Arabidopsis thaliana: one gene and its partners. The protein of the gene in region 3 interacts with the protein of the main gene of each other region in a pairwise test. Each region holds a gene or a part of one and is shown on either strand. Other genes may lie near its edges.

Region 1 (3,759 bases), on a different chromosome or scaffold from region 3:
TAGAATTGTGTCACTGATTCACACAGTCCCACATGTCTCATCTTAAAGCCAAACCTGCCGTTGAAGCGAAGATCTTCACTGTTTTCCCGTTCTCAGCTTATCCAACGTTTAAACAAAGTTCAAATTTTATTTTAATATATCAAACTTTTGTCTGATTCTTTTCAAATAATGCCAAAAAACAATTCTTGTGAAAATATTATGTAGATAAATTGTTTGTACTTGTAGGTTCATCATAGATTCATAGTCTCCAGAATTCAACTCAATGGTCAATAATCAAATTAACTCCTTTTAATATATTTGATGTTTTGACTGAAAGCTAAAAGCATTTATTTGCAATCTACTCTATTTAAGCTTTTGAAAGAAACTTTTTTTTTTGTATTCTATTTATTATTATTATTTTTGTTCTTATAGACGGAAAAAAACCAACGTTGCAAATATTTTAACGCACGTTGTGTCAAAAACTGAGATTAATTAACCGATCCAATGGCCTAAAACTTGTTTTTACGAAAGAAACAAAAAAATTAAGTGTGATTCAACTATTATCATCCTACTTAAAACGAAAAATTCCACACTAATGAAAAATATAAAAAGTGAGCACAATACAGACCAATATAATATTCATACGATTCATCATCTCCATATGTGTAGTCGGGGTAGCCAATGTTACAATTCTGCACAAATTTTAATTAAGCTAAAAAAAACAAATTAATTAAGAAAAAATGCAAAACCGTTCTAAACTAAAATCTCTTTAGTCTTCTCATCCATCTCTAACAAAGAAGACAGCGGCAAGAAACGTACGGACATCGAGGAAGTCTCATCGGAGGAAGAAGATGAAGAACACGACGTGTAAAACGACAAGGGAGACGATGGAGATTCGCCAAGAGTCATACTATTACAACAAGAAGTGCTTGCTTCTCCAGCAGCGGCGGCGCGTGAGGCCGAGACGCCGTCATCTTTGGAAATGTCGTTATTGATGATGGCTTTTTTCGTGTCTAGTGCTAAGTTCATGAGGAGATCGACGAAGGCCGCGAAGATATATCGATGGCTGGTCTTGGCGTTGACTTTCAAGAACTGAAGGAGAAGCTTCTCGAGGCTTTTCCAGTCGTGGTGAAGCGCGTGTGCCTCAACCATCTCCTCCATGGATCTCTTGAAATCAGAGTAAGGGTCGTCTGATTCCAAGGAGAAGAGCATGAAGCCTTCTTCTTCGTCCTCTTCTTCTCGCTTGCTCGTAGCTTCTTCAAGTATAGAGTTGGTTTCTCCTTTGCTTTCGAAGATGAGTCTCTCTGATGATCTTAGCCCTTTTATCACATTCTCTACGGAATCTGTAATCTCCGGTGGGTCGAGCAGGTCGAGCTCATCGTCGTCTTGGTCGTGGATAGGGTTGGTGAAAGTGATGGTGGCTCTGAAAGATAAGGTTTTAGGGTTTTGGTTACAAGAAGGCCATGGCCATGAAGAGGATGATGAATTTGAAGAATATGAAGATGTTGAGTGGTTCTTGTTTAGAAATGGGAGTTTCATATTTTTGTTTTTGTTTTCTCTGAGAAAACTAAGACAAGAAACTAAATTTGGTTTTCTTCTTTTAGTTTTGTTTATATGTTTTGGGGATTGGATTCAAAAATAAGAAACTGAGAGAGTTAATGGAGTGAGGGAGGGAAGATTTTAAGGGTTTGAAGGGGAGAAGGACAGAGAGGATTGGTAGGGTCTCTATTTCTTTACTTGTTTTAACGTCTATGAAATTTCTTTATTAAATGTATTTGGTTGTTGTATTTAATTATTGGCTTCAAAATTTAATGTTGTTTGGTTGGGGTTCATTCAATACTATAATTCAGTACCTTTTCCCGGTTAAGCTGTTTACGTATTTATTATATAATGAATGATACTTTCTTGTTTTCGTTTTTCCATTCATCGTAGCTTCTTCAATCTGACTTAATTCACAAAGTATGTTGAAAGGATTCTACATGGTTTATTTTATCATTTAGAATGTAGGAGCATATCACAAATTATTGGTTTTGAATCCGACTGATATTTAAAAATAAAAATTCGCCTAACATCGTTTACTGTGTTACATTATTGTATGAATAAAAAAAATAATATCAATTGTTTTGAAAGTTAGCTAAGTGTCAATGATCGTGATTTCAAAAAAGATAATTGAAGCTTCCGTACTTGGGGACTACATATATGTTATTGCACGTGGCAAAGGAACGTAATCGTTATTTCTAAAGAAAGACAAAATATTAGGTCACATTAAGATAGTTCAATTTATTATTTTAATTAATTTAGTTCCATTCTGAATCCATGTCTACAGAAGTAAACATCTATAATGGATAGTCATGTAAATCAAAAACCAAAATCGTATCAGAATTATCAATACTATTTGTATTCAATTTTTGTATAGTTACTATTCTTTGAATTTGAAACCAAAATACAGCAAAACCCAAAGAGAAACGAAATCCAAAAATATCAATCATAATTTAGACGTCAAACATAAGATAAATGATTTAAATGGAAAAGAATGAAACATAGATAATTATATACTCCATAACAAGAAAAACTCAACCACCAGTTAAACCAACGAATCAACCAACCAACTGACCAACAAACAAAAGATATGAGGTCAATTTTAAGAAATTTTGTAAAATCAGACAATATCCAAACTTTGCAATAATGTTGTATTTAATACTAATTGTTATTACACGCCTCCTCCCCAAATCGGAAACATTTTTTGTGTTTCTCTTTCATGGAAACTGCTCGCACCTGAAACCTATTTACATATATTTATCTATAGGTTTGCATCTGTCAATACATTACGTATAATGTATATTGCATGTTAACTTTTATGTCAATAATTCTAGAAATATTACTACATGTAATGCTCGAAATAGATAGTTTAATTTCTCACTGAGAATGATTCTTGCATAAAAATAGTATAACTGAACTGTGAATGTATATTGTTTTCTGTAGAATGCAGTAGATCATAGAAATAATTAAAAAAATAAGTAATCATAGATCGTATCGGTGATTTATATTTTATAAAAAAAGGCAATGCCATGTGAGTCTCTCACACAAATCACAATTCCATTTTGCACGTAACTTTCACTCACGTGCCTCTCACGCGTCGCCAGTGGAGAGATTGCGACACGGGAGGAGAGATATCAAAATCATTATCATATCAAATATTAAAAAGCTAAAAACATCTCAATTGACAAATAATAATATATTATATATAAAAGTAGAAGCTTCCAAATAATTATAGAACTACGAGCGGAGAGATTAGACAAATCATGTGGATTTTTAAAAGCGAAGATAATGATTGAAAGCTGTATGCCTTCTAAATTCTTATTATGAGACATTGTCTTCATGGATGCTTCGTAGACGTTTCATTCGAATAATCACATTTTCTTTCTATAACAATATCCATCCCTCTTAGCTAATCATTGTATTTTTTTAATAGTATTTTGGTCCATAGAGTAACTATGAGTATTAACACTATTTATGCAGGGTCTAAACTTTAGATCATGCAGAGAAACAATATATGGATCATGTATCTAAAGATTTCAACATGTATTTCACAAACCATGATAGATACTACGGACTTTTATAATTTTCTCTGTTTTCTCACGCTTTTCTTTTAATAACTATTGAAAGTCATGATCAAGTCATGATAGTCTGATAGATCATAGTTTGGCTATTAAGGTTAAAGCTGATAGACCCTGATTCAGGATTCATTTTTACAACCAAATCGCGATAGATTGTAATTTT
Region 2 (3,759 bases), on a different chromosome or scaffold from region 3:
TTATATATATAGCCTTGTCTCTTCCAGTGGCTTTCCAAAATCCTGCTTTCGTGGCTCTATTGGTTCGAGTTCCCGTGGGATACTTCTTGTCTTTATGACTAAAGAAGTACCATTCGCTCTGCTCTTCGTTTCCTATCTTGCATAACTCTAAATTATCACAAAGAAAAAACAACAATCGTAAGCCTTAATTTATACCAAAACAAGGATATCACTACTAAAGAGAGATGATAGGATTTTCCTGCTAAACCTTGAAGATCACATGGCTCAATCTTGTAAAGATCAACATCCTTGATGATATCGATTTCTATTCTCTTTGATGCAACTTTTTTCCTCAAGTAGTAGTCTACAAGTTCTTCATCAGTAGGATGAAATCTGAAGCCAGGAGGTACTTGTGAAAACGAATTCATTCTTTATTCTTTGTTTTTCCGAGATTAGCCTGTTTATAATATGAAATAACGACTGTTAATTATATTATGGATCATGAAAGTAATTGTTATACAAACTCATTTCATTTATCAACTTAAGAAAAAAAAAAATCTGTGCATCGGCAAACTAATAAGAAAGAAAAATGTCAATGAAACTAAGAAAAACAGTTTTTCGTTTTCAAGATTTTGTTTTATATATGATCTAGCATTGATTTGCATCGTTTCTTTTACTTAGCCAGACACAAGTTAGGGTTATCTTTCCGACTTATTTATACACACATATGTATCATTTAAGACATTCATGTGTGTAGTATTTTGTGGGAATAAGAAACCTATAAATATCTATACATCTTTAGAAAAAAAGAAAGATAGTTGATTTAAGCCGATTAAATGAGTTTAGATTCAAAGGACTCTGGAAGATGGAATAAGGATACATAAAATAAAATATCACTACTAGTTTCCAATTAACCATTTCCCGTATAACTAATCATAAATTAATATGTTAGATTAACTGATAATTGCATTTTAAGTATCCGTAAATAGAGTCAAAGGAAAATATGAGAAATATCTATAGGATCATTCTATAATCACCAATCGAAAAAAAACAAATCTTAAGGAAAAACCTAGACCACGATCGAGTCTATTAAGGATTATACTTTGCTTAGCTTGTACCATCAGCAACATTGAGTAGGATAATGATGTTAATTATAATTTTAAAAAATCAACAATTATCAAGAAAATAAAAATAGTAAATATATCCAAAAACATAGAGATACAGAAGAGGATCAAAGATGGAGTAGAATCTTCAAAGGAAGTTAGGGTCTATACCTCAAAAAAAAAAACTCAAAAACAGGCTGATTCAACTCAACCCCTTCAAAAAGCTCCGGAATTGAGTTATTGTATGTGACTAGCTAGGTTCTATTGAATCTTTCCCTTGTACTTGGAAAGATCGAATACTTCACGATATGCACTATAAAGTACGATCAGAACTAAAGAAAGAGATAGATAGAACCCTAAAAGGAGATGTTATGCATATGGAAAAGATTTGACAGTTATCATCGGGATGTATAGCCACCGGAAAGAGATCGGATCCCAAGAGTCAGAGATATTGAGAGAGAGGATGGGAGAAGAGAAAGAGAGTAGGGTTAATAAAGAAGATCAGACGGTGATGATGATGAATAAGAATAAGAAAAAGAGAGAAGAAGACACATGAAAAAGTGTACAACCGTGTCCTAATAATCTATACTACTTTGTCTCTCTCTCTCTCTGTCCTTCTCAATCATAGTCTATGTCTTTTAATAACCCCGAGTGAGATAGAGAGACTTAAATTGTTGCAAAAGCTTCGGGAGAAAAGAGAGGCGAATAAGGTTTTGGTACTAAAGCAAGATTTTGATAGAGAAAGAGAGCGGCAACCTCCGATCCATTACCACCCACCAGCCCTTGATGGAGACGGTCCAAAGTTTAAAATATCTTCTTTTTTCTTTTTTAAATACCGTTATATATATGGGACACATATTCTCTTTGAACATTTTGTCCTTTGGCATCTTCAAAAGTAAGTTCATAGATTTCTGTAAGACTTAACTCAGTCATGTTCTACGGTCCAAATTCGTAGTCTAAATGTTAACATGAGTGTCTAAGAATCCTCGATAAACATCGCATAACTATATTGAGACTTTCGTATGTTCTTTTTACTTTGCATGAGACTTAATTACCATCCAGTTTAGCCAAATTATTATAAAACAAAACAAAACAAAACATAAAAACACGAAACAAAATAATATATATAGATGAAAAAATCAGATGTGGAATTGGAGCCACTATTAATGGAATCAAGGGCCCGCCAACAATTGGAATGTGTTGACGTGGCGGCTGATGGTCTGGCGTGAGATAGGCTTCGATCATTAATCTCACAATTTGCTGTTCGGTCATGTGGGTCTCATCCCGTTTTCCCGTTCTTATTTGTGAAATTTATGACCCATATATAACAACATTAACAACACACATTTTATTTGAAAGTTTAAATCATCAATATTAGATGTTAACAAAAAAAAATCATTAATATTAATTGTCTTCTGTTAAAAGAGTAGAGTAGGTTTCAATTTATTTTCATAGGTGAAAGCAAATTTTGCATACGCTTAAATTTTCAACTTTAATTCACCCCATACTCTATTGCAACTCAATACTCCCTCTGTTTCTATATAAATGTAGCTTAAGGGTTTTTATTTTTTTTCAATTTAAGTGTTGTTTTCAACTTTCTATGCAAATAATAAATATATTTAGTATTCTTTAACCAATTATATTTAATCATCTATTTTTTTATTGGTTGAATTGGTTATAATAAATGATGTTTTTATATAAAAGAGGTAGATTAAATGAGATTTTTATGACTTCTTAATTTGTGTGAAAAAAACCTTAAACTACAACTAATATGAAACAGAGGGAGTATAAATCTTTATCGAAATTCTTTCATCCAATGTTCTAGGGAAATTAACAACAACAACAAAAATAAAAAAATCTAACTAATATCAGCTTCATCTAGACATTTGTGACAGAATTTCAGTTGTTTTCTAAAACTCAACCTATTATAGTATTATATATGATGAACTGATAATACAAATAAAAAGGTTCATGAGTTAATGGCGCTAAATCAAAAATGAAAATAAATATAAAACATGTATTCGTTTTTACACTTTTAGTCTTTTAGAAGAAAACAGCATACATTTGTCATTAGAAATTCATTTTGTGAGATTTGAGGTAACATTGAAGGTAGTGATGTTGATCGTAGCTAGTTTCCGTTTCATGAACATAGTTTGAATGCCATGTAAAATATGCCTTCTGTTAGTTTTTTTTCAATCTTACATTTTTTTTGTCTATGACTACAAAACACATATTGCTTAACGAAGTGTTAATATTTTTCATTACTGTATGTTATTTTCTTGTTACGATTGGATGACATTAGCTTAAAAAAGTAATTTGCATGGTTATCATATAAGAAACATTTCAAATTTCATAAATGAAACTGATTTTGAGTTGACTTTCTCTAGATATTGGTTGACAGCTAAACTTTAACTTTCTCACTGGATAATTAGTTTTGTAACTAATTACCAAAATAAGATTTTTAGATCTAATTTAGGTAAGTTAGGTAATATTGAAATTACAATACAACTTTAGGTAAGTTCATCAAAATCTGGATTAGTCTGCGGCTGAGGTTTGGGACTTTAGGGCAAAGTTGTTTTTCAGCGAAATTTATTAATTAATAAAATTTGGAAAATGGGCATTGAGTTATTTTAGTTTTTTTCTTTATTTCGTGTTGTTGAAACGAAGTACAGAAGTA
Region 3 (3,759 bases):
TGCTTTTGACTTCCACTTTAAGTTAAGAAGAAGCCTACCCCAAAACGGTAAAAAAATACTCGGTTTTTGCTTCAGACACAAAGATTCACTGTCTGAATCCGTGGCATAGAAGCAAAGTAGATACCAAAATTGGGAAAACTCTCTACCAGCAAATTCAAATCAAAAAGGTCAAACACACAACGAATTCTGCCACCTCAACCCACAGCTCTTAAAGATCAAAACAATCATCTCAGCCACCAAACTTTAACCTAAAGATTTGGCCTGTGCTCATTGAGCTTTATCGATCACAACAAAACCACTCACCGCCCATTGACCATGCCCTTAATCTCTATGTTCTTCACCATCCAAAATATTCATTGGGTACACAAAAGGGAAAGCCTTTCTTGTCTCCTCGCTGATGAATGAAAACTTGAGGCTTAACAATGACAATGAGTATTCTAACTTCCTCTTCGAATCACCCAATTAGATAGCAAAGGAGCTTCACCGTCTTTCTTCCTTTCATCTTTTTATTGCTTCCATCTCAGAGAACCACTAAGCTTTACTTGTTGAATAGAAGAAACCCTGAATTGATCAAGATCAAGCCAAGAGACAAAACACAAACAAATACTTGTGCCCTGTGTGGTTCTGTTACATACTATGTAAATGCAGCTTCCTACTTACATCAGGGGACACTCTATGAATAAGTAGAAATCTAAAGATAATGGATTTGAATCATTCAGAAATCATCACCAGCTTCAGAATGTTATATATATGTAACAAAGGGTTGTTGGATCTTTTATAAGAAGAAACAGATAAAAATGAAACCCAGATCTGGTTCTTACAGTAACAGATCTTAACACAATCTCTCTCTCTTTTTAATCGTCATCATCTTCGTTGATGATAAAATCATCACGCTCAATCTTTTTTTTTTGTTCTTCCTTTTTTTCTCTTTCAATATGATATCAAAGGAAAATGGAAAAACAAAAGAGCATAAAGTTATCATTTTGTAAAATTTGAGAATTTTTTTTGTGTGTAATCAACGGATTTTTTTTGTAAAGCAGCAAATCAGAGACGTAGATCGGTACAGTGGAGATCATCTATCCCGCCAGCGAATAAGTCAACGCCATCCAACGGCGGGAAATTAAGATCAAACTGAAACGGCGTTTTCCGGCGGGAAGACGAAGATGCGATATCATCTCCGTCGTCAATAACAGACGACGAAGAATCGCAGTCGCTATGACAATCCTCCGGAGCTACCGGTGGAGTTCTCGGATATCTCTTAATCGCATGTAACGGTTTCGCCACCGACGAAGACGCCGCCGCGGCTTCCATCGGTCTCGGTCCGCTACAAGATTTAACGGTGCTGCTCATGCTGCTACTCGCCGGCCGACTAATAATCTGCTGCTGCTGCTGCTCCTGGAAATTACCTCCGCCGTATAACCGATGGTCCATAAACGGATCGATCTGGTTCTGAATCACCGGAGGAGAACAGAGGTTTTGATTGTGGAGGTAGGTGAGAGGTTGGAGAGGAGAAGAAGGAGAACAATCGATCGGGAAATTGGTCTTGGCCTTTGGACCACGGAGGTTACGTGCGGCGGTATCGTAAGCGCGTGCAGCATCTACGGCGGAATCGAAAGTACCGAGCCAGACACGAGATTTTTTTAATGGATCACGGATCTCAGCTGCGAATCGACCCCAAGGTCTCTTCCTAACGCCTCTATACCTCGGCTCCTTCACAGATCCACCGGCGGTTACTGGAAGGGCGGGTCCAACGACGGAAGAGCCTCTCCCTTTCCTCATGGAGAAGAAAAAAGATGTAAAGCCAGAAGTAATGTGATGAAGAAGAGATCTGTGTGTGTTTGTGTGAAGAAGAGAAGAAAATGTTGAAGAGAGAAGAAAGATGAGGAAGAAGATGAAGGAACAAAGGGTAGAGATTGGAAATTATTATTATAATTCTCTTTTTTTTTTTCTAAATAATTTACTCAAAGAATTTTCATTTAATAAATTAATTAAAATAATAATTTATGGTTGGAATAGCTTTTTCTTTTCTTTTTTTTTTTGGTTGTTAATTTCGATTTTTTCTCTACCTTCACGCCCGACCCACAAGACCGACCAATTCGTTTCTTTAAAAATTTAATTATGGAGTAACATTTTTCCTAACTTGGATTCTTTTTTTCTTTTGCTTTAAACTTTTTATTCGATATATTGTGTGGAGAAAAAAAAACAAAAAATTAAAAAAGAGTTCACAAGAGATGTCTCGAAATGCGAAGAAAGTAAAAGAGGGTAAGCACTTGCACTCTCTGTCCTGACCCTGACCACAATCTATATAATAAAATCTTATGTCTTACTGTTTGTTTGTTATCAAATTGATGCACCTAGAGACCAAATAGTCCACTTGTAATGACCAAAAACACCCTCCAGATTTTATTTTATTTTATTTAATAATACACCCCTCTTCGAAATTATTATTAGTTTCTTCTCCTTCCTTTGGGACCCTACAAGAGACGAGACGCGCTTATCGGCATCGTCGTCGTCTCCCGTGTTAAAAGTAAATGCCGTGTTGAGGATACGCATTAATGTGGAGAAACAAACATTTTTGTTCTTATAAAAACTGAATTATGTCTCTCCATTAAACCCCAATCTCAGAACACAAAACGAAAACAAAAATAACTCTAAAGAAGAAACAACACATTTTTCGAATTTTTAAAACTTGCTTACCATAAAATTCTGGATTTTATTTATCCAGTCTAAAATCTACAGGCTGATCATAGTAGCCTGCTTAGGGATTTGATGAGTAGTTTAAGGTTTTTTCTTGTGGCTTCATCTCCTGTGAATCCCAGAATATCTGAGCTTATACTCTACAATCAAGAAAATCAAAAACCAAGTCTTTGTTAACATTGTTTCTTCCAACTTGTCAAAGCTGGTATTGATAGAATAAGAAGAAAAAAAAGTTTACCTCGACGTTCTTCAAAGTATAAACCAGAGTGTAGATTGACTTCTGTATGAGTTCTGTATTCTCAGGAGTCATAATTGACGAATTAACCTTTCTGCAATGTAACCAAAATGAAAATTATATTTTTGCTGTCTACTGCAAGAATATAGGTTCTCATAATCACAGTTATCACTCAGTTGATCATACGTATGTAAGTAAACGAGCTTTTGCATATATGTGGTCCAGGAACATACATTAAGTGACAGAAACAGTAGGCTAGCAGAAGATAAGTAGAGGCAACACAAGATAAATTATTGAAATTTTAAGACAATAGAGGAAAGATTGAAAAGCACTGATGAGCAAAGCAGTTAATTTAACATGGAACCCATAAGATAAGACACATTTATGCATAGATATGTATGTGTTTTAACTTTTTAACCATCATCTCTTGTTCAGAAACTTAATCCACAAATAGAGTGTTGAAGCCACATACGAGAAATTGAAGCTAGTGTGCTTATATCTATCGTAAGGTCTGCTTTCATCATGATGCAGAAAGAGTTTTGCATTTGCACTATGGAATTCAAAATATTCATAATGATATACAGTCGATATGCCAAGATTGTTCCACTAAGAGCTATTACCTCAAATCGTCAGAAGCTTGGGTAAGGCTTCGAGTAAGACACTCAACTTCCTTGAGCAAGCCGCTATCACGAAACTCAGAGAGCAAAGGTTGAGCATCTTCAGCCATGGCTTGAATCTGTGACATCACTACATCAAAACCCAACGCATAAGCAGGAGAATACATTTTTTTCCAATCTTGAAATTCACCTATCGATTCTTTTTGAATA

What was found.
Region 1: the proteins of ERF7 (region 3) and OFP15 interact in a two-hybrid assay, tested with the Arabidopsis thaliana proteins (one large-scale study listed by BioGRID).
Region 2: the proteins of ERF7 (region 3) and ANAC026 interact in a two-hybrid assay, tested with the Arabidopsis thaliana proteins (one large-scale study listed by BioGRID).

What each region holds. Positions count from the first base shown.
Region 1 is NC_003071.7:15,135,120-15,138,878, forward strand, and holds OFP15 (ovate family protein 15), read right to left. Parts: upstream 1,894-3,759; 5' UTR 1,519-1,893; coding exon 733-1,518; 3' UTR 449-732; downstream 1-448. UniProt on the Arabidopsis thaliana protein: Transcriptional repressor that regulates multiple aspects of plant growth and development through the regulation of BEL1-LIKE (BLH) and KNOX TALE (KNAT) homeodomain transcription factors.
Region 2 is NC_003070.9:23,217,510-23,221,268, forward strand, and holds the start of ANAC026 (NAC (No apical meristem) domain transcriptional regulator superfamily protein), read right to left. Parts: upstream 1,701-3,759; 5' UTR 1,254-1,700; intron 492-1,253; exon of another isoform or gene 437-491; 5' UTR 408-436; coding exon 248-407; intron 148-247; coding exon 1-147. UniProt on the Arabidopsis thaliana protein: Transcription activator that binds to the secondary wall NAC binding element (SNBE), 5'-(T/A)NN(C/T)(T/C/G)TNNNNNNNA(A/C)GN(A/C/T)(A/T)-3', in the promoter of target genes.
Region 3 is NC_003074.8:7,084,913-7,088,671, forward strand, and holds the start of ERF7 (ethylene response factor 7), read right to left. Parts: upstream 1,983-3,759; 5' UTR 1,780-1,982; coding exon 1,045-1,779; 3' UTR 1-1,044. Other genes in the region: ABCI15 (trigalactosyldiacylglycerol2), read right to left, coding at 2,745-2,837, 2,936-3,026, 3,553-3,668.